7 linked regions of the Callithrix jacchus genome follow. The protein of the gene in region 1 purifies or fractionates together with the protein of each later gene. This does not show direct contact. Links are inferred from orthologs where the notes say so. Each region holds a gene or a part of one and is shown in the gene's direction. Other genes may lie near its edges. The genes, in order: PPP2R2D, CDCA4, PPP2CB, PPME1, IER5, ECSIT and PPP2R1B.

The links.
Region 2: the proteins of PPP2R2D (region 1) and CDCA4 purify together in Homo sapiens (affinity purification with mass spectrometry; 3 studies listed by BioGRID and IntAct, counting the BioPlex papers as one, with this or other methods). This does not show direct contact. The link is inferred for Callithrix jacchus from reciprocal best matches to the Homo sapiens genes PPP2R2D and CDCA4.
Region 3: the proteins of PPP2R2D (region 1) and PPP2CB purify together in Homo sapiens (affinity purification with mass spectrometry; 6 studies listed by BioGRID and IntAct, counting the BioPlex papers as one, with this or other methods). This does not show direct contact. The link is inferred for Callithrix jacchus from reciprocal best matches to the Homo sapiens genes PPP2R2D and PPP2CB.
Region 4: the proteins of PPP2R2D (region 1) and PPME1 purify together in Homo sapiens (affinity purification with mass spectrometry; 4 studies listed by BioGRID and IntAct, counting the BioPlex papers as one, with this or other methods). This does not show direct contact. The link is inferred for Callithrix jacchus from reciprocal best matches to the Homo sapiens genes PPP2R2D and PPME1.
Region 5: the proteins of PPP2R2D (region 1) and IER5 purify together in Homo sapiens (affinity purification with mass spectrometry; 3 studies listed by BioGRID and IntAct, counting the BioPlex papers as one, with this or other methods). This does not show direct contact. The link is inferred for Callithrix jacchus from reciprocal best matches to the Homo sapiens genes PPP2R2D and IER5.
Region 6: the proteins of PPP2R2D (region 1) and ECSIT purify together in Homo sapiens (affinity purification with mass spectrometry; 3 studies listed by BioGRID and IntAct, counting the BioPlex papers as one, with this or other methods). This does not show direct contact. The link is inferred for Callithrix jacchus from reciprocal best matches to the Homo sapiens genes PPP2R2D and ECSIT.
Region 7: the proteins of PPP2R2D (region 1) and PPP2R1B purify together in Homo sapiens (affinity purification with mass spectrometry; 4 studies listed by BioGRID and IntAct, counting the BioPlex papers as one, with this or other methods). This does not show direct contact. The link is inferred for Callithrix jacchus from reciprocal best matches to the Homo sapiens genes PPP2R2D and PPP2R1B.

What each region holds. Positions count from the first base shown.
Region 1 is NC_133513.1:125,243,570-125,247,069, forward strand, and holds part of PPP2R2D (serine/threonine-protein phosphatase 2A 55 kDa regulatory subunit B delta isoform), read left to right. Parts: intron 1-415; exon of another isoform or gene 416-616; coding exon of another isoform or gene 617-658; intron 659-1,666; coding exon 1,667-1,832; intron 1,833-2,188; coding exon 2,189-2,301; intron 2,302-2,547; exon of another isoform or gene 2,548-2,613; intron 2,614-3,500. UniProt on the Homo sapiens protein: Substrate-recognition subunit of protein phosphatase 2A (PP2A) that plays a key role in cell cycle by controlling mitosis entry and exit. Involved in chromosome clustering during late mitosis by mediating dephosphorylation of MKI67.
Region 2 is NC_133509.1:139,880,571-139,884,654, reverse strand, and holds the start of CDCA4 (cell division cycle-associated protein 4), read left to right. Parts: upstream 1-1,284; 5' UTR 1,285-1,366; intron 1,367-4,084. UniProt on the Homo sapiens protein: May participate in the regulation of cell proliferation through the E2F/RB pathway. May be involved in molecular regulation of hematopoietic stem cells and progenitor cell lineage commitment and differentiation.
Region 3 is NC_133514.1:31,978,076-31,982,369, reverse strand, and holds the start of PPP2CB (serine/threonine-protein phosphatase 2A catalytic subunit beta isoform), read left to right. Parts: upstream 1-1,494; 5' UTR 1,495-1,908; coding exon 1,909-2,010; intron 2,011-4,294.
Region 4 is NC_133511.1:66,763,890-66,768,163, reverse strand, and holds the start of PPME1 (protein phosphatase methylesterase 1), read left to right. Parts: upstream 1-1,474; 5' UTR 1,475-1,624; coding exon 1,625-1,725; intron 1,726-4,274. Other genes in the region: C2CD3 (C2 domain-containing protein 3), read right to left, coding at 1,234-1,303. UniProt on the Homo sapiens protein: Demethylates proteins that have been reversibly carboxymethylated. Demethylates PPP2CB (in vitro) and PPP2CA. Binding to PPP2CA displaces the manganese ion and inactivates the enzyme.
Region 5 is NC_133519.1:39,363,894-39,367,793, forward strand, and holds IER5 (immediate early response gene 5 protein), read left to right. Parts: upstream 1-1,233; 5' UTR 1,234-1,444; coding exon 1,445-2,425; 3' UTR 2,426-3,400; downstream 3,401-3,900. UniProt on the Homo sapiens protein: Plays a role as a transcription factor. Mediates positive transcriptional regulation of several chaperone genes during the heat shock response in a HSF1-dependent manner. Mediates negative transcriptional regulation of CDC25B expression.
Region 6 is NC_133523.1:10,642,915-10,646,624, reverse strand, and holds the end of ECSIT (evolutionarily conserved signaling intermediate in Toll pathway, mitochondrial), read left to right. Parts: intron 1-85; exon of another isoform or gene 86-199; intron 200-1,281; coding exon 1,282-1,339; intron 1,340-1,480; coding exon 1,481-1,629; intron 1,630-1,768; coding exon 1,769-1,874; intron 1,875-2,858; coding exon 2,859-3,100; 3' UTR 3,101-3,210; downstream 3,211-3,710. Other genes in the region: ZNF653 (zinc finger protein 653), read left to right, coding at 3,517-3,710.
Region 7 is NC_133511.1:11,463,780-11,467,279, reverse strand, and holds part of PPP2R1B (serine/threonine-protein phosphatase 2A 65 kDa regulatory subunit A beta isoform), read left to right. Parts: intron 1-2,875; coding exon 2,876-3,108; intron 3,109-3,500. UniProt on the Homo sapiens protein: The PR65 subunit of protein phosphatase 2A serves as a scaffolding molecule to coordinate the assembly of the catalytic subunit and a variable regulatory B subunit.

The sequences.
Region 1 (3,500 bases):
TCAGAAATCAGCATGTCCAAAAAGAGAGTGTGCTTTCTTCATCCTCCTTTTCCTATTTGTTACTCTCCTGCTCTCTCCTGCCTCCGTCCCAGCAAGGCTTCCTCGAGAATTCCTCTCCCTAGACCCAGTGGAACGCCGCGAGGGTGCAGAGTGTTGGAGAAGGCTGAGGGGTCACTGGGGTGGGAGCTGGGACCAGTTGGTGGCAGAGACGAGCCTGCAGCCCAAGGACAGTTCTCGTGCTGGCGCTTGGGAGGAAGCCAGGGCAGCACAGGCAGCACGCTGACTTGCACATTGTGCCTTTTTGCTTATAGGCCGCAGTTTTTTCTTGGTAGATGAATGTCTTAGGAATAGGACTAATTTGGTTATATACTTTTCTTTTTAAATAATTTGGTTCCATTTTTCTCCCTCGCAATAGAACTGTCTGTTGAAGTGCTGTGCTTCTGTAAAGAGGGGTAGGCGTGGGTCCAAGGAGAGCAGTTTAAACATCCGCCCTGTGCGGCCCACGTGGGACCGTCCAGCCCTGAGAAGCTCAGCTCCTGCCCGTGGAGGCTTCAGTTGAAGGAATGCACCGTACATCAGACTCAATGCAGTGGAGAGCTGTGGGGAGCCTCTTGGGATGACTTCTCCTAATAGAAGGAACATCTGTCTAGACTTAAAAGTTCGTTTAGTTCAGTTTCTTGAGCATATGTACTCAAGTGTCAAACATCTAAGATACTAGTTACTGGCTGTAGAGCAAGAATGAAAATACTGGCATCCTTGATTTTTGAATTACGGAATAATTAATAGAAAATTTCCTTTGGGCATATAGAGATTCAGAGGTTAATAGAGATGCACCTGCAAGCCCACCACCCAGAGGTTATGCCTTCATCAAAGGAAAGAGAACGCTGGGATCCAGATGAAGCTTCTGTCCCCTCCCCCATCTCGTTCTGCCACTTTTCTCCCAGTCTTTCTCACTCTCCCTCCAGCTTCCCAGAGCTGCTCATTCATTTGAAGATGGTGTATATCTTCCTAAGCATGTTCCTCCACTTCTCTAACAGTTGTTTTGTGTGTGTGAAAAACGGATGTAAGCAGCACTCACTGTGGGCGTCTGTACCGCCTGCCGCACTACGCAGCTGTGCCATCGTCCGTGCTAGCTCGTCACCTCCACGGCTGCATGGTGGCCCTGCACGGTTGCATGGTGGCCCTGCACTGTTTCCCTTCTCTAGCTGGTATGTGTGTGGCGTCTGGTTCACTCCCACCATGATGGGGCTGCCACATCGTTGTGTCACGCTCCTCAGGCACGTGCTGGCTCTCCTCTAGGGCAGACTCAGCAGATGCTTCCCCCCAGGGCCAGGTTGCAAACATTTTTGCCTCTGCAGCTCATAGCGGCCTTTTCACAGCCACTCACCTCTACCCAGATCGTGCAGCGGCTGCCAGAGACAGTGTGTGTGTCCCACTAAAACCTGCTCTAGATTCAGACCCGCAAGTTGAATAGAAGAGCGGGAATGTCCTTTCTGTTTTGTTTTTTTTCCAATAAATTGCTGCTGAGTTTCATCTGTTAGAGATTTTTTTTTGAGCCAGGATTTTAGAATTAAAAGCCTGTGATCCTTTGATGTTCCAGTTCAGTGTTAAAGTCTCCTCTTCACTGTACTTTGTTCATTAAAACAGCTCTCATGTCTCCTTGCAGAATAAAAGCCGCCCTCATTCTAGGGGAGAATATAATGTTTACAGTACCTTTCAAAGTCACGAACCAGAGTTTGACTATTTGAAAAGTCTAGAAATTGAGGAAAAAATTAATAAAATTAGGTGGTTACCACAACAGAATGCTGCTCATTTTCTACTCTCTACAAATGGTAAGAATTGTTTTCTAAGTGGCTGTTTGATTTAGTGTTTTATTTTTAATTTTCTGTGTGTAGAGTCCATTTTATTTTAAAAGTTATTCCTGCTTTAAATCTGGGGGCAGGGGGATAAATTATTATCTAGGGTAGCAAGTGAAAGGTTGAAATTGAGAGTATGCAACAAAAAGACACATTGTGTCTGCATGGCTCCACAGCTGTGGCAAACAGGGTGTCCGTGGGGATGCTCACCAGAGACCCAGCAGCTTATCAGCCAGCGCAGGGCCACACCGCTTTCTGATGTGATACTCAAACAGTAGTGATGCATGTTACAGTTTTTCTTTTCATATGGAGAATGAGGTTTTTATTTTCAGATAAAACTATAAAATTATGGAAAATAAGTGAACGGGATAAAAGAGCAGAAGGTTATAACTTGAAAGATGAAGATGGAAGACTTCGAGATCCGTTTAGAATCACAGCACTACGGGTATACGTTGCCTTTTCCTATCCAATGCTTTTCAGAAATTAAGAATATCGTTTGTGTCCGCTGTTCAGAGAATACTGTGCAGTGGAATACTGTGAGATCTACTTTCTTGATTCATGAACCTTATTTGTACTCATGTGTATGTGTTTAAAGCAAGAGATTTCTCCTATTTTCACAAAGGCAAAAAGTCACACGTGGTCCTTAGAAAATACAGCAATACTAAGGGGAAACTCTCATTTAATTCTACAGCAGAAATCTTGGTGGGCATACCAACCACCCTTCTCTCTGAAGGCCGAAGTTCAGAACACTTCACAGGTGAAATAGCATACCTTGCAAATTTAAAGATAAACTGTGGACCACCAAGACACCTTGGTGATGGTTCTCGTGGAATTTCTTTGGGGTTGACATAGGCAGTTGCTGGTAGTTCAGAACTCTTCCCCTGTCCATCCATGAGCATCATTACTTTTTAATTGTTAAACTCTTTGCTCCATTGTTGGTACGTCTCCGCCCCCACCACCATACAGTATGAAATGAGCATAATCAGTTCTGCTGCCTAGATTTTTTCATATTTTAACATCTATGAAATCGGGTAAAACTTAAAACCTTGGTCTTATGATTGACTGGTGCTGCACACCACTGATGGTGTCTTAAATTAGATGGAACATGGTGAAGGGTGTCAGGCAGACTGGACTCAAGCCCAGGTGTGTCTTGGTGAGAAACCAGTACCTGTGCAGAGGTGTGTCCCTGGAAGGAAACCCTGCCTGGTCCCAAGGGAGTGCCATTATTCGATTTGAAAACCATTGGTTGATTAGTTAATTGGTTGGGGTGGTTTGTTGGTTAATCGATTGAGTGGTTTGGTTGGGGTAGGTGGGTGTGTTGGTTGGTTGGTTAATAGGTTGGGTGGTTGGTTAATCGGTTGGGTGGTTGGTTGAGTGGTTTGGTTGGGGTAGGTGGGTGTGTTGGTTGGTTGGTTAATAGGTTGGGTGGTTGGTTAATCGGTTGGGTGGTTGGTTGAGTGGTTTGGTTGGGGTAGGTGGGTGGGTTGGTTGGTTGGTTAATAGGTTGGGTGGTTGGTTAATCGGTTGGGTGGTTGGTTGAGTGGTTTGGTTGGGGTAGGTGGGTGGGTTGGTTGGTTGGTTAATAGGTTGGGTGGTTGGTTAATCGGTTGGGTGGTTGGTTGAGTGGTTTGGTTGGGGTAGGTG
Region 2 (4,084 bases), on another chromosome or scaffold:
TTTGACATGCATAAACTTTCAGTTCTCAGGTGGTCTTATCAAGTCCCATTTTCTTTTACCTGGGCGGTAACCTAATGGGATTTTATACTTCCAGCCTTCCTGTCACCTCCTCCAAATCTGTTACTAACAGTGATTCTTCGTGGTTGCGGTGACTCATGCCTATGATCCCAGCACTTTGGAAGGCCAAGGGTCACTTACGGCCACGAGTCGGAGACCAGGCTGGGTAATACGGCAATATCCTGTCTCCACAAAATTACAAAAAAAAAAAATTAGCTTGGGGTAGTGGCGCACTCCTGTTCAAGTCCCAGCTACTTGGGAGGCCGACGCGAGAGCATCACTTGAGTACAATGGTTTGAGGTTACAGCGAGCCATAATCACGCCGCTGTCCTGCAGCCTGCCTCTGTCTCTGTCCCAGACATTCCTCTCCTGGAATTCTCTTCCACTCTTCCTTTTGGTGCCTTAAGACGCCCCTCATTCTAGAGTCCTATGTGAGCAGCGCCCCCACGCCATTCCCAGCTTTTTCCAACAGCATTTCAGCCTTTACTATTGACCTTGGCGCATCCATATTTGCGGATTCATCTGCGGATTCCCGTCCACCACCACTGCCGTCACCCGGGAGGTTTCACTTGCACTGGGTTCCCCGCTGCAGCCACACCTGCCGAGCCTGCGGCGGGCGCTCAAAGACTATTACCGAAGTCAGTGATTGCAGGCTTTTGTACTAAGAGATTCAAAACACGTGTCCCTGCTTTCTACTTTCACGTTGTATTTCTAACGTGTCAACCTGGGAAACCCCTGGAGATGCCCCGGTTTCTGGAGAGGCCTGGACGGACTCCGGAGCCCAGGCCGCCCGGAAACTGCCGTGCCCGGCTCCTCCCCACCCCGGCACGCATCCCTCCGCGGGCGAAAGAGCATCATCCCCTACCCAGCTGCCGGGCTAAGCTCGCCCGAGGACCCCACGTGAGCCCCAGGCGCAGGCGCACTCAGGGCCAGACGCGCGGAGACCTGGGAGCTGGCGGGGCGGAGCCGGACTGGGCGCAGGGAGACCTGGGAGCAGGCGGGGAGTGGGCGTGGCGGGGCCGGCGCGGGGGTTCCAACGGTTGCTGCCTCCGCGCGGGAACACTCGCCGCAGAGGCCCCGCCCGCGCAGGTTTGAACCAGAATCCCCGCCCCTGACCCGCGAGTGGCCAATCAGCGAGCGCGGCGCGCGGCCAGCGCAGCGTCGACCCTTTGTGAGCGCGGAGTGGCGGTCGCGGGCCCCGCCCGCGCTGGCGGGCGCTCCTCCCTCAACGGCGGGAAGCTGGCGGCAGCGGCGGTGGCGGCGGCGGAGCGGAGGACCGGAGGACCCGGCGGGCGGCCTCGCGGGTCAGGTGAGCGGGCAGGGCGGACTGCGAGGGTGGCTACGGCGGCGCGCGCCTTTGTGCTGCAGGGCGCGGAGGAGCCCGGGGCGGCGCGCGGGGTCCACGGCTCCTGGCTCTGGATCCGGGGCGGAGGCGGCGCCCGGGACTCCCGCTGGGGCTGCCGCGGGCGCTGCGTTCCCCTCGGGGTGGCCGCTGCTGAGGGTCCCGCGGAGCCGACGGGCCCGCGCCGCTGTCTGCGTTCCACGCGGAGCTCGGGGCTGGGACTTCGCCGGGGCCCCGCCGGGGCTCACAGCGGCGTTTCCCGCTCCTCGGCTCTAGTTGGCGGCGGAGGGAGCGGCGGGGGCGGCGGAGGGAGCGGCGGGGGCTCCGCAGCGGCCGCCCCGGGCCAGCCCCGCCCCGCTCACCGGGCCAGGGCGCGTCTCAGCCCGCTCAGGTGGAGCCCGGCTGCGGAGGAGGCCGAGGATGCGGGAGGAAGCCCAGACCCCGCCCCGGCGGGTCGGCCAGCGCCGTCTTCCCGAGGTGGATCGAGGAACAGGGCCCGAGACGCGCGGAAGTCGGAGGCCAGCTTCCCTCCACGTGTTCGAACTCTCGCCCCGCAGACGGGATCGTCGCGACAAAGGCTCGGACAGCGTGCGGGGGACAAGGTCCCCGCGGCCTCTCCTCCTGGGACCTTCGTGTGGGGCGCACGACACGGCGGGACCCAGATAACCGTTCTCAAAGCGAGCCTTAGAAAAACACCGCCCGTTCCCAAAACTTAACGCCGTATAAACCTTCCACGTGCAACCGCTCTCTTGTCAAGTGTCACGTGCTTTATGATTAGAGTGAAGGGACCGCCTTTATCTTGGAAAGGGGGCTAGGAAGTTTCCTCAACCTGCCATTGGAACATGCTTTCGGGAAAAAGAAAGGGTGTGGCCTGTCACCCCAGCACTTTGGGAGGCCGAGGTGGGTGGATCACGAGGTCAAGAGATCGAGACCATCCTGGTCAACATGGTAAAACCTCGTCTCTACTAAAAATACAAAAAATTAGCTGGGCGTGGTGGCGCGTGCCTGTAATCCCAGCTACTCGGGAGGCTGAGGCAGGAGAATCGCGCCATTGCACTCCAGCCTGGGGAACAAGAGTGAACCAACTCCGTCTCAAAAAAAAAAAAAAAAAGAAAGGATGTGTATCATTCCAAGTAACTGAAGTACCTGAAATTGGCCGGGCGCGGTGGCTCACAACTGTAATCTCAGCACTTTGGGAGGCCGAGGCAGGTGGATCATGAGGTCAGAAGTTCGATACCAGCTGGCCAACATGGTGAAACCCCGTCTCTACTAAAAATACAAAAATGGGCCTGGGTGGCGGCACATGCCTGTAATGGTAATCCGAGCTTTTCAGGAGGCTGAGGCAGGAGAATCGCTTGAACCCCATGGGTGGAGGTTGCAGTAAGCGGGGATCCCACCATTGCACTCCAGCCTGGGCAACAGACCCCATCTCAGAAAAACAGAAGTACCTGAAAGTAACATCAGTAATTGTTCATGAACAGTCTCCAGCAGACTGTAGTGGAAGGAGGAGCTCCCATGCGGTAGCTCTGAAGAGTGCAGACCTTGCTCCTCCCTGTTTGCAGATGAAATATTTCAAAGCCTATCTGATGTGTGATAGAAGTTGAAATTGTTGGTTTGCTTAAAAACCCGAAACTTCAAAGTGGCTGCCGTCCAGCTGTGAAGGTGACAGGTTAGGTCAGAATTGAGTCTGTCCCCAGTTGTCCCAGCCCTACTGATCAGATTCTGGGAATCTGCATTTTCAGCCAGCCTAGTGGGATTGCTGAGCCCGGAAGGGGTGGCCACTGCTGCTGTAGTGAGGGGCCGGGCCCTGAGCTGTACTGTACTTGCCTGAACAGCACTTCGGCGCTGCTCCTGGCCTCTGCCTGGGTGGGCTTAGGTTGCTGTCCATAGTGGCCTGTTGGCTGTTCACCTGCCGTGTCGGACATGTCCTCAGTCTGGCCCTCTTTGTTTTCTCTGGTTGGTGCCTGGTTTAGAAGCCTAAGGGCAGTGCTGGCAGTTGACCGAGGGGGAACCCTGACAGCCTTAGCTGTCTCGTTGACACCCTTGAGGAGCTGGTGGGATTTTAGACCTTTAATTAAAAGTGTAGAAAGACCTTCAGAATTGAGCTGGGCTGGGTAGGGTGGCTCACTCCTGTAATCTCAGCACTTTGGGAGGCCGAGGTGGGAGGATTGCCTGAGGTCAGGAGTTTGACGCCACTTTGGCCAACATGATGAAACCCTGTCTCTACTAAAAATACAAAAATTAGCCGGGTGTGGTGGCACATGCCTGTAATCCTAACTACTTGAGAGGCTAAGGCAAGAGAATTACTTGAACTTGGAGGTGGAGGTTGCTGTGAGCTGAGATATGTATCACTGCACTCCAGCCTGGGGGACTGAGCAAGACTCCATCTTTAAAAGAAAAAAAAAGTTGAACAGGAAGCTAGACTCCCCAGCCCCACTGGTGTAGGACCCGTGATCCTTCTGTGTTAGAAGGAGTTAAGCAGCCTCAGGCCAGAGTCACCCTCAGGGAGCTGAGCCCAGCCCAGGCCTCCCTCAGGGCTGGTGAGGACCATGTTCTTGCTGACTTTGTCACAAACGCAGATAGAACCCGATTCAGGGTGATCCTCACGGGCCAGCTTTTCCGAGCCCAGTCTTATCCTTTTCACCCCTAAACACATTTTCTGGGTGACAGCTCTTTGGGGTCACA
Region 3 (4,294 bases), on another chromosome or scaffold:
GTCCTCCCACCAGCACAGCAAAGCCAAACACTGGCATTGGGACTTGCAGTGAGAGAAAGTGAGGCATTTATTGCATTGCACCAAGCAAGAAGAATCAGGCAGCTCATGCTGAAGACCGCAATTCCCTGATGGTTTACAGGTAAGGGGGTTTTCCGAGTGTTTCCTTTTTTTTTTTTTTCACTCTTGTCACCAGGTTGGAGTGCAATAGTGAGATCTTGGCTCATGGGGCAACCTCTGCCTTCCAGTATCAAGTGATTCTTCTGCCTCAACCTCCCGAGTAGCTGGGATTATTACAGGTGCCCGCTACCATGCCTGGCTAATTTTCGTATTTTTAGTAGAAACGGGTTTCACCATGTTGGCCAGGCTGGTCTTGAACTCCTGATCTCAGATGATCCACTCACCTCAGCCTCCCAAAGTGCTGGGATTATAGGCGTGAGCCATTGTGCCCAGCCCAGGTAAGGGTTTTTAAAGGCAGGGAGGCAGAGGTTACAGGCAAAGTCATAAATCAATACATGGAGACTATACATGAATTTGATCTAAAAAGCCAAGATATCTGAAGCAGGGACCCACAGGTCATAGATGGATTCAAAGATTTTATGATTTGCAACTGGTTAAGGAGGCAAAGCTTTGTGAATTTTTCCAGGCTCCTCAGTAAGAAATTTAGAACAAAGATAGATAGTTTGAAGTCTCCATGCCAGTGGACAGCACTTTCCATTTGGTGAGGGTCCAGGTTTCTAAAAAACAACTCAGGGACATCGTCCTCTTTAGTTTCTTTAAGGAACCAAACATTTTGTGAATCTAACGTCCTTGGTTACTGCCTTAAGCTTTTATTACCTTCTTGCTTATCAGGTTGCTCATTGACTTCTCGAGGAAGTTAGGTGCCGGGAATGTCCCTTGAGAGAACTCAAGATTTTCCTTTCCATACTTGGGGAGGGGGGTGCCTAGCTGGCCCCTAAGAAGGGGTCCCTCCTCTGTCTCAATAAATATTTGTTGAATGAACAAATCATTAACCTCAGTACATATTGCAGAAAACGCAGTCAAGAACGCTAGAGCTGGAAGGGCCACAGATTATCCTACAGAACAACCATTTCACTTTTCTAATGTTGAAGGGAAGGATTCGAGATGTTAGGACTACAGACCCGGCTGTAAATAATCAATTATTTACTCCATCAATATTGAATGCCTGCTATTGAGTGCTAGACTCTGGGGGGAACAATGTTAAGGGGAGCCCAAGTTTTCCAATTCCCTGTCCAGAGCACTGAAAAAGTACTGCAGGAAGCTAAAGTGAGGACAAAGTTCCCAGAGATCAGTCTATCTGAAGGGAGAACCAGCAGAGCTTGGTCTGGGGCAGGGTTGAGAAAGGAGGAGGGACCCCGGCCTCCTCAGACCGTTTCTCCGCCAGGCCAAGCGAGGGCGCTGTTCTGCTCCTAGTGCGCCGTGGGCGGGCGGTGCCGCCTGCTCGCCTTTTCCCGGCGGAAATGCCCGAGCGATGACGGAAACCTGGAGGGAGGGGAGAGAAAGAGCGAGAGAAGGGGAAAGATAGCCTGTAGAGGCCGGCGGGTGTGAGGTGGCGGCGGACGGCCTTCGTCCAGCGGGAGTTGGCCGAGAACCCGCGGCGCGCTCCCCGGCACCTCCCCGCGTCCTTCACCTATTCGCGCGGCGCGCGGCCAGGCGAGAAAGGGCGGGCGGGGGTCTCCTCCAGGCCGCGCGCTCGGAACCGCCTTCTGGGCTTGGGCGGGGCGCGGGGCCCGCGGCCGCCCTCCCTAGCTCTGTCTTCCCCCAGTGGGATCTGGCGGCGGCGGCGGAGGGAGAGGGGAGCGGCGCCCGGGCCGGGGCCGGGGGCGGGTGGGGTGGGGGGAGGGCGGCTGCGGGGCAGGGGCTCGGGATCCGCATCGGGATCGGGCCGCCATGGACGACAAGGCGTTCACCAAGGAGCTGGACCAGTGGGTCGAGCAGCTGAACGAGTGTAAGCAGCTGAACGAGAACCAAGTGCGGACGCTGTGCGAGAAGGTGAGGGCGCCGCGGGGGCGAGTGCGGGAGTGCGAGAGCGCGGGGCTGGGATGGGCCGCGGCCGCCGCTTTCCTTCCTGCACGTCCCAGGCCCGTCCGCTCCCGGCCCGGCTTGGCCCACCGGGGGCCTGCGGGGTTGCAGCCCCGGCCTCCATTCGGGCGGCGGGCCCGGCCGGTCAGGGACCGGAGCGTTGGACTGCCCTCGCCCGGCGCCTCTGCCTCGGCGCTGACACGCCCCACGCCCGCGGCCGGCGGCCCAGATCCCGGGCGTGGGGGCTCGGGTGTGGACGGAAAGGGAAACGCGCCCCCCGGAGTCGAGCCTGAGGTTGGTCAGGTTGCCTGCGCTCCCCTGGGGAGTTCCTGCCACTCCAGCATGTCCCGAGTGGGCTACCGAGAGCGGCGTCCGAAAAGGAGCAATGCTGTCTCTGAAAATGCACCTAAAATTAACCAGAATGTCGTACCTACTAATGAACTTGTTAATTAATGTAGAATTTTTGTCAGGCGAACGAGGCACCTCAAAAATCACTCACAAGTGCTGTGACTCACGCCTGTGGTCACAGCTACTCGGGAGGCTAATGCGGGAGGATTGCTTGAGCCCAAGAGTTAAGAGACCAACCTGGTCAACATAGTGAGGCCCTGTCTCCACAAAAAAAAAAATAAAAAATAAATTAGTGGGGCATGGTGGCGGGTGCCAGTAATCCCAGCTATTCGTGAGGTTGAGGCCGGAGGTTCGCTTGAATCCAGGAGGTGGAGGCTGCAGTTAGCTGAAGTCGCGCCACTGTACTCCAGCCTGAGCGACAGAGCAAGACCCTGTCTCCGAAAAAAGAAAAAAAAAAAAATTACTGGCTCTTTAATGTGTCAAGCGTTTGTTTGTGGAGAGGTAGGCGTGATGGCCAGCTGCGATTTTTAAAATAGAGGTTGACTTTGGTGGAAACAGATGGTGACTGGTCTTTGCCTTCACTCGCTCTTGGAAGTAAAGCATTGATTTTCCTAAACGAGAGCGGGTCTTGAGTTTGGGAACCGTGTTTGCTGGAAATGAGGTGGGGTGTGCGTTTTCACGCATGATAGCACTTTTCAGACAATTATTCTCCATTTTAATATAAAGTTTTTTCTTTTCCGAAGAATAACGCCTGCAGGTGGTCAATTCTTTCTTGTACATCGTTCATGAGTTTGTAAAGTGATCTTCACTTTATAAATACTATATTCCTTGTTGTCTTAACCCCTGGAATCATTTCCATCTCTCCATCTTTAAAGTCTAATTTTCCACATTTATCCTTTATAAGATGGACTAAATATTTTTCATGTTAAAAATTCCCACTTGAAGTCCATGAAGTAACGAGGTTATTTATTTTTAACATAATCTGTACTTTTTTTTTTTTAACCATAACGCTTAGAAATCATGATATTGCAGAAATACACAAGAAAAGGACAATTTTTTGTTAGTCTTATTTTAGGACATTCTTAAAATCATGAAATTTACTTAGAAAAGAAGCACTAATAGTGTTAAGTTAAAATAGTGTTTTTAACGGGTATAATGTTGCCTGAGACCTTTATGTATTAAGTAACTATTGGTTAACACCGAAGAATTTATTTTTGTAAATAGAAGTGCCAAGCAAGTGGTATTTTTCTTTTTCTGAAACAAACTGCTTACTTGTGGCTTCAGTAAACATTCATTTTATTGTGTCTTAAAATTTATACTTTAAATATCTTTCTCAAGCTCTAATGTGAAGTGAATTGTACAGGTTTGAAATGAGCTGAGTCAGTTAACCTTGCTATGAACATCAGAATGCAGACTTGAAGTTATGGGCAAAGTGTTATTTGAATCTGTTTTTCCCATTGACTTTCTTTTTTTGTTGTTTTGTTTTTGAGACAGAATGTCACTCTCTCACCCAGGTTGGAGTGTAGTGGTGCCATCTCTGCTCACTGCAGCTTCCGTCTCCTGAGTTCAAGGAATCCTCCTGCCTCAGCCTCCCGAGTAGCTGGGATTAGAGGTGCCCACCACCATGCGCTGATTTTAGTAGAGATGGGGTTTCGCCATGTTGACCAGGCTAGTCTGGAACTCCTGGCCCCAAGTGATCCGCCCACCTCAGTCCCTCAAAGTGCTAGGATTACAGGCGTGAACCCTGTGCAGAGCCCCCATTGACTTTCTAATAATTTTAAGATGAACTCCTAGAGAAGAATATTGTACCACTACTATACCTTGAAATAATCACACCAGAGTGTCAATCACTTGTGAAACTTTCTGTATTTGTCAAAAGAGATTTTTTTTTCCTTCGGCTTCTAAA
Region 4 (4,274 bases), on another chromosome or scaffold:
CCTCAAAACTGCCTTAGTAATCTTTAAATAGCTTGGATAAGAGTAATTCCCAGATTGTAGTTTCAGTCCTCAACCCAATGGCCTAAAGTCCTATCACTCTTCCCAGTGTTCTTTTCTCACTAAACCGCCTACAATGCAAAAAGGCAGGGTAGTCCTTTTTTCCTTCAAGGCAGCCTTGTAGAGATTCAATGTCCAGTTTCCTGATCTACTCTGGGTTTCTAGGGTGACTGTTTTCACTGCAGTCACCTACTTGGTGAGCTTGTGTCTTCTTCAGCTGCTAACCTGATGAGCGCTCTCTGCGCTCTCTTTCATGATCTCAGGTCCTTCAGGAGATCCTCATTCCCTTACCCCGACTCCAATCCTATCACACCTTTTATTCCTTTCTTCCCCACGCTAGACTCCACAATTATTTTCTCAAACTCCTGCTCATAGCCCTTCACGCTTCATTCATTCAACTAACATTTACCGAGTACTGCTTTGTAGTAGTCCTTGGTCATTCAGTAATGTAGTAACCGTGATCCTTGCCCACAATCACACCAGCAATGACACAATCCCTTTGCCAATTTATGTTCTTTCCTGTCCCTGTGGATCTCTAAAACCACACACACACACACACACACACACACACACACACACACACACACACATTTAACTTCGTTATCAAAACCACTCCTACGGTTTGTTCTTCTCTTTTAGTCATCCTACCGGTAACCCTCATCGCACCGCATTTATCACCACTCTGTGGCCCCTACCCGAGCCCCTGATTCCTTTCCATTCTCTGGAGGGCCAATTGCCCTTCCTTTTAACCTTCTGGTTCCCTGGCTATTTCCCCTCTTCCGTCCCTTATCTTGTTTAGTCAGCGGGGGTGGGGGGGTCTCCCTAAAATTCCTTACATTCTGCTCCACTATTACGCTTTCCTCAATCTTTGATCGCTCGGATTACCTCTTTTCTTGCGCCCACGGCTGCCCCCAGGCCCTTGGCCTTTTCGTTGTTTCATGACGAGCCCGAGCTTTTCTTTACAAGCTCAACTCCGTCTCCAGCACCTAAACAATATCCTCCCGCCATCCCTCCCCACCGCGCCTGCGTTCCCCGGCAACTGGCGCCGCTGTGCAGCCTGGGAGGCAGAAAGAAGCGCTCTTCCTCTAACAGACTCCGGACAACGGTGCAAAGAGAAGGCGCCAAGACGTCTTCCCTACAATAGACTACAATACCCAGGATGCTTTGCTACACTACCTCTGCGGGGTTGGCTGGCGGTGCCTCCAGCTGCGCAAGCGCATAGGGATACGCCCTTCGAGGACTCCATTGCCCAGGGTGCATTGCCCTGAAGAGCGCTCCTCTTTCCGGTGAAAGTCGTCGGGTTCCCGGCTGGGAGACTTCGAAGTTCACGGACTCAGTTACCCAGCTTCCTTTGTGGAAGGGCTGTTGCGCACTTCCGGTGGAAGCGCTGAAGCGAGTGGGTGGAGTTTACGGAGCCGGTGGGCGGTAGGCGGTGCTACCGGTATCTGGGTGCTGTCCAAAGGCGACAGGACGTCGTTAGGCGAGCGAGCCGTGACCGGTTGGGCCACACTCAACGTGGGACGAAGCTTCGCCTACTGTTTGACTACGTGCGTGCAACCTCCCCTTAATGTCGGCCCTCGAAAAGAGCATGCACCTCGGCCGCCTTCCCTCTCGCCCACCCCTGCCCGGCAGCGGGGGCAGTCAGAGCGGAGCCAAGATGCGAATGGGGTACGTGACCCATACCCCTTCTCCCTAGGGGCCAGGCCCCAGCCATTGGAGAATGGTGTCTCTGGGCGTCCAGAGAGGCACGGGAAAGGAGTCTACGGATAGGAGAAAATGTTGACGGCGGCCTGGAGACATTTAGATGAAGTAGAAGGCAGATTGGGGGACTAGGGGAGGCGCCAAATCAATGGAAATTGGAGGAAAAATAACGTTATTGACGGTAGAAATGCATGAGGCAAAATTAGGGAAGCTGAGAGTAACATAAGGGATCTGAGAATCGCCTCCGGAAAAAATAGAAAAGGGAGTAGAACGGTGACAAAGGTGGAGGGAAGTGGGGAATGACAGAGAAAAGTTGAGGGGAATTGGGGCAACAACTAAGAAAAGGTTTGGGAGGAGTAGATATTATCACACTTCTAATATCTACACTGTGAGAACTAGATATTAGAAAAGCTGAGGGGAATAGAGAACACCTAAGACAGGGTTGGAGAAGGAAAGAGGAGAACTAGGAAGCAGACGATTCTAGAGAATTCCCAGAGGTGTAAAGGCAGATGCAGGGAATGAGAGGTGAGATTAGGTGTCTTAAGGGAGAATGAGAAAGTTTGGGGAGAGGGCCTAAGGTAAGGTGGAGAACATAGCCACGAAGATTGTTAAGGTAATAGGAATATGCTGAGAAACTGGACAGGATATGGGAGAGAGAGAAGAAGGAGAGGACTAAAGAATTTAGAAAGTGACCATAGGCTCTGAAGATTGAGAAATGACTATAAATACGGTTTGTTGAATGGAAGTGCTGCAGTTGTAAGGTATGGGAAGCTTAAAGAGGAAACTTCGGGCAATCAGTTTTTGCTGGGCCAATAGACTGGAGGGAAGTGATGTACTGGCCTAAGACCTTGAATTAGTGAAGCTTTGGGAGTAACCACTTAAAATGTTTTTGGGGAAATAAGTTTGCTGGAAAAGGAAGAAAACTGTGTTGAAGAGATAGGCCTTGAAATTTTATATCATCAAATGGCTTGTGCCAGGTTAGGGGATACTTGGGCCAAGGAAAAAGAATGAGGTGAACCTGGGAGAAGTAATTGCTGGAAAGCAGAGAGAATTGAATAAGTATTTCATTTTGAGGTGATATTTGTAGTTTCAGACAGGATTCTGGGAATTAGTGACTGTAAAGAGAAAAGGAGTAGGAAGAATACTTAGCTATGAGGAATTGAGAGTGTATTTGGGATTCTAGAGATGAATTGGTAGATATTCTTTGAAAAAGGACTACAGAAGAGAAACCTTAGGTTCTGAAGAAGTAATACGTGTAAAAACTGATCAAAAAGGAGGTGAGAATATGTGATGCAGTACTGTGACAGTAAGTCCTGGGGATGAAAAGAAAGGAGAAGCCTATACAACTGGGGTGAAGGAATGGGAAGAATGGTTGGGAAAAACAGGGAAGGAAACTAAGAACTGAAGTGGAGACCTGCTATGAGACACAGTAGAAAAATGAGAAAACTTTAGCAGAAGATAGATAAATGGATGCACAGTAGAGGAGGTAGAAAGCTACATAGTAGGTAAAGTGAAGATTGTTTTCGCTTTGGAAGACAGAAAGATTGGACTATGACATGAATAAAGATAATTTGGAAACCGACCCATAACATTATTTGGGAAAATTAACCTGGAGTATAATATTAATGTAACAGTAATTGTGGATATATATCTTAATTTCTGCCTTTCTTAAACTAAAATTTGATCTTTCAGTATACCAGCACTCTTCTATACAAATACATAAGAAAAGCAAATTTTTAATAATTATACATTTTTAAGATAAGTTTAATTAGAGCTTAGCTTCTCACTTTGTCAAAACAAGTTCTCTGAAGATTGAAGAACTGGGTGAAAATACTGAGAGAAAATAAAAGGAAAATCTGCTGATTAGAAGATTGCATAATTATTAGTAATTTATCCTTTTTCTTTTTTATTACTTTTCATTTTGTTTTTTTAGAGATAGAGCAAGACTTTGTTGCCCAGGCTGGAGTGCAGTGGCATGATCTCAGCTTACTGCAACTCCTACCTCATGGGTTCAAGTGATTCTTATGACTCAGTCTCCCAAGTAGCTGGGATTACAGGCATGCACCACCACACCCAGCTAATTTTTGTATTTTTAGTAGAGATGCAGTTTCACCATGTTGGCCAGGCTGGTCTTGAACTCCTGGCCTCGGGTGATCTGCCCCAGTTGGCCTCCCAAAGTAGTGGGATTATAGGAGTGAGCTACCATGTCTAGCCAACTTACCCTTTTCTTTTTTTTTTGTCTCTCAAATTTATTTTTTATTTTTATTTTATATTATTTTTTTATTTTACTTTAGGTGTATACTATATCCAGCATTTCTCCCCATGTTATCCCTCCCCACCCCCCACTGCCCCCAGTGTGTGATGCTCCTCTCCCTGAGTCCACATGTTCTCATTGTTCAACACCCACCTATGAGTGAGAACATGCGGTGTTTGGTTTTCTGTTCTTGTGTCAGTTTGCTGAGAATGATGGCTTCCAGATTCATCCAAGTCCCCAACTTATCCTTTTTAAACAGATG
Region 5 (3,900 bases), on another chromosome or scaffold:
GGTTCCACATGGACTCCAAGAAAGCAGTGCTTAGTTTTCTCATTCAGATTGTGGCTGAGAGTTGTCATTTATCTTCTGTATAATAAAGCAGATGTGTATGTGACTTCCCCCTTTCCGCAGTGGAGACACTGAAGCGGCCTCAGGTTCTCAGGCAGGTCTGTGGTGGAGTTTGCTGGAACTAACTGGAACTGACTCTATGTTTCCAGTCCAGAACTCTGAGCAACCCTGTGGCAATTCTGCCCTAATACACTTATAAGGACCAGTAGATGGACTAAGGTGTTGACAGACCACAAAATTCTGGAACTCCCTTGCCCTGTATTTTTACCTTGACACAAAATGAAATTATGACATCATCATGGGAACACAGGACTTCTCTCTTTGTATTTTCAGAACTTGCTCGATTTTTCCAAGGGTACACTGGTCAGTCCTTGTAATGGAAAAAAAAAAAAATCATTGTGGAGAACCTGTAACACCTTCCACCTAACCTGTTTGATAACTAGCTTTGCTCTACAATCTGGAGAACAAAGTGAAAGATGCCAGCTTTAGACGACAACCAATAACTTTGTATCTAGACACAATTCCTTGATAAGCCAAAAAAGTAGCCAAAAACTTCTAGAATTCCCCTTTTCTTTAGGGTTAGAACTGACAGCTGCTAAGAGTGTATGTGACTCTATTAGGGAAAGCGGCTCGTCCAAAAATAATAACTGCCAAATACCGTGCAGTAATGCTATTTGTTATCCAGAAGTGTCCTACGCCGCGTATAGCCACCATCTCTATTTTAGAGTTGAGGGGGATGGCTCACAGGTGTGGCTGGCCTGGAAACCGTGGCGTGGCTGGTGAGGGCGGGGTCGATCACGGAAGGATCAGGACTTCATGGCAGAGCAGAGTCCACCACCACACTCGGATGAAAGTTCAAAGATTTTGTTCGCTTTGTTTCTGGCAAGCCATCACACAATCCTGAGTCTGTAACTCTAAACAGTAGCGCCCACGAGCACAGCCCCCGACCCGCACTCCCCCCGGCCCTGGTTGGCGGCCGCACACCCACACCGTAGCCCCCTTTAAGAGCCTGCTCCGCGGGACTAACGTTCGAACGGGCCCTGGCGCCCCTCCTCGGGCTCCGATTGGTCGTGCGCGGCGCACGAGGGCGCGCCGGCCAGCCTCAGAACGGCTGGCATCCCTTCGTGATTGGCGGTCGCGGAGCCTATATAAGGCACGGGACGGCCGGGCTGCCTTGTTTAGCGACCGGACCCGGAGCTGGGCGCTTGTCTGGTGTGGAGCGGCCAGCGGGACAGCGCGCGCGTCACCGCAGTCGTTTCTCTTCGGAGTCTTAGGCGATCGAGGGTGTACCCAGGGGCGGACTTGTTTGTGTTTCCCGTCCCCTCCCGGCTTCCGAACGTGACACCCCGTCACCCCGGCGCCGGCGGCCGTGTGCAGGGGACGCAGGATGGAGTTCAAGCTGGAGGCTCACCGCATCGTCAGCATCTCCCTGGGCAAGATCTACAACTCGCGGGTCCAGCGCGGCGGCATCAAGCTGCATAAGAACCTCCTGGTCTCGCTGGTGCTGCGCAGCGCCCGCCAAGTCTACCTGAGCGATCCGTGCCCCGGCCTCTACCTGGCGGGTCCCGCGGGGATCCCGGCGCCGCCGCCGCAGCAGCTCGGGGAGCCGGCAGCCGGGCCACCCGCCGGCTGGGGAGAGCCGCCCCCGCCTGCCGCCGGTGCCTCCTGGGCGGATACGGAGCCACAGCCGGAGGGCTCCGCGGTCTCAGAGGCGCCGCGGGTGGGGGACGCGGTGCCGGAGGCCACGGTGACCGGAGTCGGGGTCGTTCCTCAGGGCGGAGCCGCGGACGCGGCGAAAGCTGCCTGGAGCCGAGTGGAGGGGCCTCGCCAGGCGGCGGCCGGAGAAGCCGAGGGTCCCGCCGGAGGCTGGGGTGTTTTCCCCTTGGGGTCTCGTGCCTCTCGCCGCCCCTGCGGCTGCCCCCTAGGCGGGGAGGACTCGTCGGGTACACCGGCCGCGACCCCCCGCGCTGCCTGCTGCTGTGCGCCGCGACCCGCCGAGGACGAGCCTCCCGCGCCGCCAGCCGTGTGCCCCAGGAAGCGCGGCGCGGCGGGGGTGGGCGGCGGCCCAACGAGCTTCCCGGCGCCCGGCTCGACCCCGCTCAAGAAGCCCCGCCGGAACCTGGAGCAGCCGCCGAGCGGGGGAGAGGACGACGACACGGAGGAGATGGATACCGGGAACGTGGCTAACCTCATCAGCATCTTTGGTTCCAGCTTCTCGGGACTCTTACGGAAAAGCCCCGGGGGCGGCCGGGAGGAAGAGGAGGGAGAGAAGAGCGGTCCGGAAGCCGCCGAGCCCGGGCAGATCTGCTGCGATAAGCCGGTGCTGAGAGACATGAACCCCTGGAGCACAGCCATCGTGGCCTTCTGAGCCCCTGCCTCCGTGCGGGGAGGAGGTTGAGCAGCGGGCGTCCCCGAAGTGAGGGCCGGGACCCTCCCGGCTGCAGGGACGCCCAGAGACCGCAGGCGCTGAGCGCGTTGGGCAGACTGGTCGCCGCCGGGCATCGCAAACCGCCCCCGGGCGCGGGGGCCCTGCCGGCCCGGGACTCTCGAGGCTTTTCTGGAGACCAGGGAGCTTGAGGCTCATTGGAAGAGGACGATTGTTAACTTTTGTGTTTGTGTATGTCAGTGTGTGTAAGTTTGTCTTGTGGCATTAAGACTATTTTGTCCTTCTGGAATGCACCACTCCTTCCCCGGGGCTTACGAGACTGGGGGCAGACAGGGACTTTCCTCTGCCTACAGCGTGGAGAAGGAAGCGGCTAAAAGGTTTGGGCCGGGGAGTTCCCCATTCGTTCTCCGGAGAGCGAGGGACTTTACACCCACCCCTCACCGGAAAGCTAGACCCGCTTCAGGGCCAGGAGTGGCGTTTCCGCACAGGATTTCCTAAGACGAGAGGGATTTTAGCCACGAGCACCGACTTGAATTCCTTCCCTCCCTCCCCACTTTTCTTTCCCAATGAAGAAACGCTTATGTCCTGTGATTACTCTAGGAAAGGGGAGTATTAACGGCCCTTCGCTTCCCCGCAGGGGTGAAAAAGCTTGATGAACTTCACAGAAGAGTTCAAGCTTGGAAATACGGAGTTTATAGAGAAAAGATATATTTTTAAAAGCTCTAGGTCAGAACTACTACACAGTGCTTTTAAAAAGTGTTTAATGAAAGTTTACAGACAGAAGCCCTAAGTGAAAAGACCTTATGGTTTTGTAGATAAGGTGACTCCAGTCTTTGTTGTATAAAGGTTGGGGGAGCTGATAAGGTTTTTGTACAGTATTTTCTCCTTCGTTGTATTGATTTTTGTATAAAAATGTAACTTCTACGTGTCTAACACGTATTAAATATTTTGAAGCAACGTAACTGCCTCCTTGTCTGTAATAACCTGCCTGGGTTGGGAGGGAAGTGGGAGGAGGGAAACCAGGGCCTGTGCTAGAAAATTGAAGGTGTGGTTCTTGGTATCAGTCACTCGCAGACTGAGGACATTGTTTACTGACTCCACCAAGTATCAAGAGAGACACGTTTAGTTTTTTCTTCTAGATCAGAGGGCCGCTATTAGATAGTAATATCACCGACCTGCCAGGGTCTTGAAACCTGCCATTACAACTGCCTTTTGTAAGGTCAGTTTAGGCCAATTTGACTGTCACCAATACATGGGTGTCCATTTTATTAAGTAATTTAAGCAACTTTTGAAGCCCTGCTCATCCACAAAAATGTTTTTCAGCTTAGTTTCCTGTTATATGGATCATCTTTTCGCTTTATTATTGAAAAAAATTTAGATAGTAGTAGACCTTAAAAGCCTGATGCAACCGACATAGGAAGCTGAAAGAGACTGACTTGTCCAAATTGTCAGGTCCC
Region 6 (3,710 bases), on another chromosome or scaffold:
AGCCTGGCCAGGATGGCGAAACCCTGTCTCTACTAAAAATGCAAAAAAAAAAAAAAAAAAAAAATCCAGGCATGGTGGTGTATACCTGTAATTCCAGCTAATCAGGAGGCGAAGGCAGGAGAATCGCTTGAAGCCAGGAGGTAGAAGTTGCTGTGAGCTGAGATCGCACGGAGCTGAGATCGTGCCATTGCACTGCAGCCTAGGCAACAAGAGTGAAACTTCATCTCAAAAAAAAAAATTGTCTAGTGTTTCTGAATTATGTTCAGGGTATAACATTTTAAAAGATACCGAAAGGTATTCCTTCCCACCCTGTCCCCCACAGAGGTGAAAGCTATCATTTGCTTCTAATGTCTCCTTCCTGGGATATTCTGTATATGTGAAGTTATTTTTCTTTCGTTAATTCACAAGCATTGAGCACTTATTACCTGCCAGGCACTGTTCTACATGTTTTATAACTACCCAAAGTTAGGTTCATGCCCATAATCCTAGTGCTTTGGGAGGCCCAGGCAAGCGGATCACCTGAGGCCAGGAGTTGGAGACCAGCCAGGCTAACACGGCAAAACCCTGTCTCTACTGAAAATATAAAAAATTAGCCAGGCGTGGTGGCAGGTGCCTGTAATCCCAGCTACGCAGGAGGCTGAGGCAGGAGAATCACTTGAACCCAAGAAGCAGAGGCTAAAATGAGCCAAGATCGCACCACTGCACTCTAGCCTGAGCAACAAGAGTAAAACTCCATATGAAAAATGAAATTATAATAAATAAATAAATAAAATAAAATTAGCCAGGCACAGTGGTGTGCATGTGTAGACCCAGCTACTTCAGAGACTGAGGTGGGAGGATCACTTGAGCCCAGGAGTTCAAGGCTATATGAGCTATGATCATGCCACTGTATTCCAGCATGGACAACAGAGAGGGAGACCCCATCTTTAAAAAAGAAAAAAACAAAAAATTAGAATTAAGTGCTGTTATCCCTATTGTGCAGCTGGAGAAACTGAGGCACAAAGGTACAGTGACTTGGCCGAGGTCACACAGTTTGTGACAGAGTTAGGATTTTGACACAGGTGGGCTGGCTCCAGGGTGCTACCCTCAGGGTGAGCATCCTAAAGATTGGGGGCTATTGCCAAATGGGAGAGAGGGAGGAGGGGATGGGATGGAGGGCCACACACCAGGTCTAGGAGAGGTGTCCTCAATTTGCTGATATCTCCCTTTCTGTTTCTCTGTCCCCAATTCCTCTGCAGGGGGTTGGGGGTTACAAGATTACATCCCTTCTCTTCCTTGCAGACTGCTTCTTCCAAAGACTCAACAGATGTAGCAGATCCCACCCAGCCCCACATCATAGGTAAGTCCTGAGAGCATGGGGTTGGCCAGGCCTCTAACCTGCCCCAGGCCCTGCCAGGTTCCTGCTGGGCCCAAATTGGGCTCCCTGGGCCTTTGGGGAGACTCCCACACAGGGCACAGAGCATGTATGTCTCCACACCAGGAATCCAGAGTCCCGATCAGCAGGCTGCCCTGGCTCGCCACAACCCAACCCGGCCTATCTTTGTCGAGGGTCCCTTCTCCCTGTGGCTCCGAAACAAGTGTGTGTACTACCACATCCTCAGAGCTGACTTGCTGCCCTTGGAGGAGAGGGTGAGGGCTTAAAGCAGAGCATGTGTCAGAGCTGGGGAATGGGCTGGCACCACCCTGAGGGCGAGTGGGAGAGGCTGGGGAAGGGAGACTGCGAGAGCCCCAACCTCTGACCCTGCCTGCACTACCCTCCTTGGAGCAGGAAGTGGAAGAGATGCCAGAGGAGTGGAACCTCTACTACCCGATGTCGCTGGACCTAGATTATGCGAGGCATGGCTGGGATGACTATGAGTTTGACATCGATGAAGGTAAAAACTGAACCCCATGCCGTGGCTCACACATGTGCCTGTAATCCCAGCCCTCCAACAGACTGAGGTGGGAGGGTCACTTGCCCAGGAGTTGAGGTTGCAGTGAACTATGATCCAGCCACTGCACACCAGCCTGGGTGACAGACCCTAACTCTTAAAAAAAAAAAAAAAAGGCAAAAACCTGGACAGGCAGGACTTCCAGGATGAGGGGCGGCCTCTGGGGTCAATGGGTAGGCCCAAGTTGAGACACAGTCCACTTACCCCCGGTCCTCCTGCCACACACACTCATTTGTCCCAGGGGCTCCAGACCTGAGGCCACCCACCCTGTCGGCCTTTGGTCATTCCCTCCTTCCACACCTCTGTGCTGACTACTGGGAGTCACCAGGACAAGCCTAGTCGCTCGGGTCAGTGAAGGAACAGGCAAATTACACTTTGGGGAGCTGAGGAGATGAGCATGCCTTGAGTAGGAGGTCAGGAGGGCTTCCTGGCAGAATCTGGAAGTCCCAGAAGGCATCGCCCAGGTGAAGTGTGGAGTGGGCAGCCTAGGCAGCAGGGCTAGCTTGTGCAAAGGTCTGGAGGTACAAGAAGGTAGGAGGAGGCTGGGTGCAGTGGCTCAGGCCTTTAATCCCATCACTTTGGGAGGCTGTGGCAGGTGGATCATTTGAGGTCAGGAATTGGAGACCAGTCCGGCCAACATGGTGAAACCCCGTCTTTATTAAAAATAAACCTAGCTGGGTATCGTGATGTGCGCCTGTAATCGAAGCTTCTCAGGAGGCTGAGGCAGGAGAATCACTTGAACCTGGGAGGCAGACGTTGCAGTGAGCTGAGATTTCGCCACTGCACTCCAGCCCGGGCGACAGAGCGAGACTCCATCACAGAAAAAGAAAGTGGAAGGGAGTGTAAAATACCTAAAAAGGTGTAGGCATGGGTTACCCGCTGCAGCCCCAACTGGGCAAACCCTGAGGTTTGCATCTCTTCCAACAGTGGAGGAAGGCCCTGTCTTCGCCATGTGCATAGCGGGTGCCCACGACCAGGCAACGCTGGCCAGGTGGATCCAGTACCTGCAGGAGACCAACCCAGCCCTGGCTCAGATCCCCGTGGTCTTCCGCCTGGCTGGGCCCGCCGGGGAGCTCCAGACATCTGCAGGGCTAGAGGAGCCACCCCCGCCCGAGGACCACGAGGAAGAAGACAACAACCTGCAGCGACAGCGGGAGGGCCAGAGCTGAGTCTGAGCTTCCAGGAAGGCACAGTCTGTGGCCTGAGGAGATGGTGGACTGGAATGAAGGCATGAGATGCCCTTTGAGTGTGGAGCAAATAAATGTTTTGCTGCATGGGGCTCCCTTCCCACCTCTTTGGCAGTGTGGCATCCCCTCCCCAGGATCTCAGGCTGCCAGCGATGGGCAAGCGAGACCCCTGCAGAGTCTGCAGGCTCTTCTGGTTCTCTCCCACCAAACGAAGCTAGAAAGTTTAACCGAAGAGGGGCGGGGCTGGTCGTGCGCATGCGCAGTTTCCGTTATTGGTCTCCTTTTGGCGCCCCGGGGCAGCGAGAGACCGTGAGAAATTTCCCGGCAGCGCAGAATATGCGCGCCACTTCCGGTCGGGCTCCTAACAACGGGGGAGGCTGGTAACCAGGGTGGGGGGGATGGCGGAGCGGGCGGCCGAGCCCGAGGTGGAGGCTGAGGCGGGCGCGGGTGAGGAGGCAGCCACCGAGGAGGGCGCAGCGGGCCGCAAGGCGCGGGGCCGGCCGCGACTCACGGAGTCGGACCGGGCCCGGCGACGGCTCGAGTCCCGGAAGAAGTACGACGTGCGGCGCGTGTACCTGGGCGAGGCGCACGG
Region 7 (3,500 bases), on another chromosome or scaffold:
CATCTGATCCGTTAGTAATTCCTATAGAGTCTAAATATATTTCAAATCAGCCCACTTTCTTCCATCCCTCCTATTACCAGCCTAGTCCAGACCATCATCATCTTTCCTCTAGATTGCTCTAGTAGCTTCCTAACAATACCTTCCACTCTTGCCTCTCACCCCACCCTTACAGTTCACATCACCCAGCAGATGGCTCACTGTCTGCCATGGCTCTTAGAAAATCCAAATTCTGGGCCGGGTTTGGTGGCTCACGCCTATAATCCCAGCACTTTGGGAGGCGAGGTGGGTGGATCACAAGGTCAAGAGATCGAGACCATCCTGGTCAACAAGGTGAAACCCCATCTCTACTAAAAATACAAAAAATTACCTGGGCATGGTGGCGTGTACCTGTAGTCCCAGCAACTCGGGAAGCTGAAGCAGGAGAATTGCCTGAACCCAGGAGGCAGAGGTTGCGGTGAGCCGAGATCACGCCATTGCACTCCAGCCTGGGTAACAAGAGCGAAACTCCGTCTCAAAAAAAAAAAAGAAAATCCAAATTCTCTACCTTAGCTTACAAGACTTTTTAAGACTCGCTTCTGTAGGCTTATCATATGCCCCGTGGTACTGCATGAGAAGAGGTCACAGTAGGCAGGGGACAGACCTCAAATGCCTTGATAACCTCTTTCATTCACACTGGTCTTCTTTCTGTTCTTTGAACTAACCAAGCTCATTATTTATTACCTTGAGACTTTTGCCCTAGGTCTTTCCTATAATGAAATGCTCTCTTGAGCATTCTGTGGCTGGCTCCTTGTCATTCAGGGATCAGCTTCAATGCATCTCTTCAGGGAGGTTTTCCCCAAACACTCAACTTGAAATAGCCTCCCAGTCACCCGTTACCACATCATCCAACTCCTTTTTTCTACAGAGGACTCATCACCATCTTCTTTTCTTGATTGATTGTCTTACTCCATTAGAATGTAAATGCCACTAGAGTGAGGAACCTTGTCTGGTTTGTTTCTTCTGTGTCCCCAGTGCTAGAATACAACAATAATCATGTATTGAAAAAATGAATTTCAGAGGCTTGGAAGCATGAAACAGGCTGGGTTCAAAACTGCTGGAGTGTGGCCGGGCATGGGTGCTCACGCCTGTAATCCTAGCCTTGGGAGGCCAAAGCAGCAGGAGGATTGCTTGAGGCCAGCAGTTTAAGACAAGCTTGGGCAACATAGTGAGACTGCATCTCTTAAGAAAAAAAAAAGCTGGACATGGTGTCATTATGTCTAGTCATAGCTACTCGGGAGGCTGAGGCAGGAAGATGAGGAGTTTGAGACCACACTGAGCCATGATTGTGCCACTGGACTTCAACCTGTGCAGCCAGACCCTGTCTCTTGAAAAAAAAAAAAAAAAAGGACTTCTGGAGTGTGAAGTGTTGAGGCTGGAGTAGGCAGGCAGAGTGGTCATCAAGGGCCAAGCAGAGTTCAAATCAAGACAACTCATAAGCAATTCTGAGGACCATGGCCTCATCCTGTAGTAGTGATAGCGATTATCCAGTGGTATTGCATGAGAGGGTATTACAGTAGGCGGGGACAGATGGTGAAAGGCCTTGGCAAGTGAAAAACAGTATCTGTTCAATGGGTTTCTGTAGGAAATACCCTGTAGGAAAGCTGAATACTGTCTACCTGTGTCAAATAATTTTCAGAATCTTTTATTAGATAACTTAATAACTCGTTATGCTTCTGTTTCACTTTTGGTTGGTTCTACAGGTGAGTTTTATGCTTTAAAATTTGTAGCTTATGGCATGTGTAGAATCTACCTGGATTACATGCAAACTCAGTAAGGCAGAGGTTCAGAGAGCCAGCCTGTTTATACTTTTTACTAGACCATGCCATATTCAGTTACTGATCCTAATCTAGACCATCCACCTGCTTTGGCCTCTTCTGTTTCTAAAGCTGTAAGCAAGGGGCCCTGCCATCTCTGTACTTTACTTTTTTTTTTTTTTTTGAGACAGAGTCTCTGTTATCTGTCACCCTGGCTTAAGTGCAGTGGCACAATCTTGGCTCACTGCAGCCTCCTGGGTTCAAGCAATTCTCATTCCTCAGCCTCCTGAGTAGCTGGAATTACAGGCGTGCACCACCATGTCTGGCTAATTTTTGTATTTTTCGGTAAAAACAGGGTTTCACCATGTTGGCCAGGCTGGCCCGAACTCCTGACCTCACGTGATCTGCCCATCTCAGCCTCCTGAGGGCTGGAATTATAGGTGTGAGCCACTGCACCTGGCCGTCATTGTAGTTTTCAGTTGATTGTTCTGTCAGAAACTCCTGCCCTGTGGCTAATGGAAAGTTGCTGAATGTGTTCTGAAAAAAGCTATTTTGTATTCAGCATTTTATAGGTTGGATAAAAGGATGGCATGGAGATGGTGGATAAGGGTTGCTTGCACCTCTGGGAATGGTAGAATAATACTGAAAAGGCTGTGGACTCAGTGACCTGACAAGCTGTTATCCTGTAAATGTGGTGCCCAGTGTTGATCATGTTTTTGTACTTACTATTGAGGAAATACACACGATCCTGTCTGAATTTGGCTATATATCTTTTAAACCTAGTGATTCAGCTCACAGTAATATTAATATTGTGTCAAGTCTCTTACACTGTGTCATTTGTAGACACCATCTGGGAATTGCCATCTGGGACATGAGATTTTGGCTTTTCTATAAAGTCGTGTCTTCGGGTTCTCTGCACCATATGTTATCACTGTGTGAGCTGAAAGTAACCATTTGGTGTGATGGAGCTAACATTCTGGTTACATGTACCACCTCCCTTCAGTCACTTTAAAAGGTGATAATCTGTTTCTAACCTGATTCAATAAGTTTTCTTCTCTGGTTTTCTTTTTTAATCCATTCAGCCTCCTTTGGAAAATCTGGCGACTGCGGAAGAGACTGTTGTTCGTGACAGAGCTGTGGAGTCCCTGAGACAGATCTCCCAGGAGCATACTCCCGTTGCTCTGGAAGCTTATTTTGTACCTCTGGTGAAACGCCTAGCAAGTGGGGATTGGTTCACCTCTCGCACGTCTGCATGTGGTTTGTTCAGCGTGTGCTATCCCAGGGCATCAAATGCTGTTAAAGCAGACATTAGACAGTAAGCTATGGTATTTTTTTGAGTTATTTGGGATTACTGGGGACTTGTAGCTGATAATTTACACAGTACTTTGTTATCAGTGAGTGACTGATACTGGGGTAGCAGGATTTATGATATCTTTTTTTTTTAAGAGATAAAGTCTTACTCTGTTGCCCAGGCTGGAGCACGATGGCATAATCATAGCTCACTGCAACCTTAAATTCTTGTGCTTCAGTGATCCTCCAGCCTCAGCCTCCCAGGTAGCTAGGACTATAGACATATAGACTAGCTCCTGGCTAGTTTTAAAAAAATTTTTCTGGCTGAGTGCAGTGGCTTGTTCTTAGAATTCCAGCACTTTGAGAGGCTGAGGTGGGAGGATTGCTTGAGTTCAAGAGGTCAAGACCAGCTTGAGC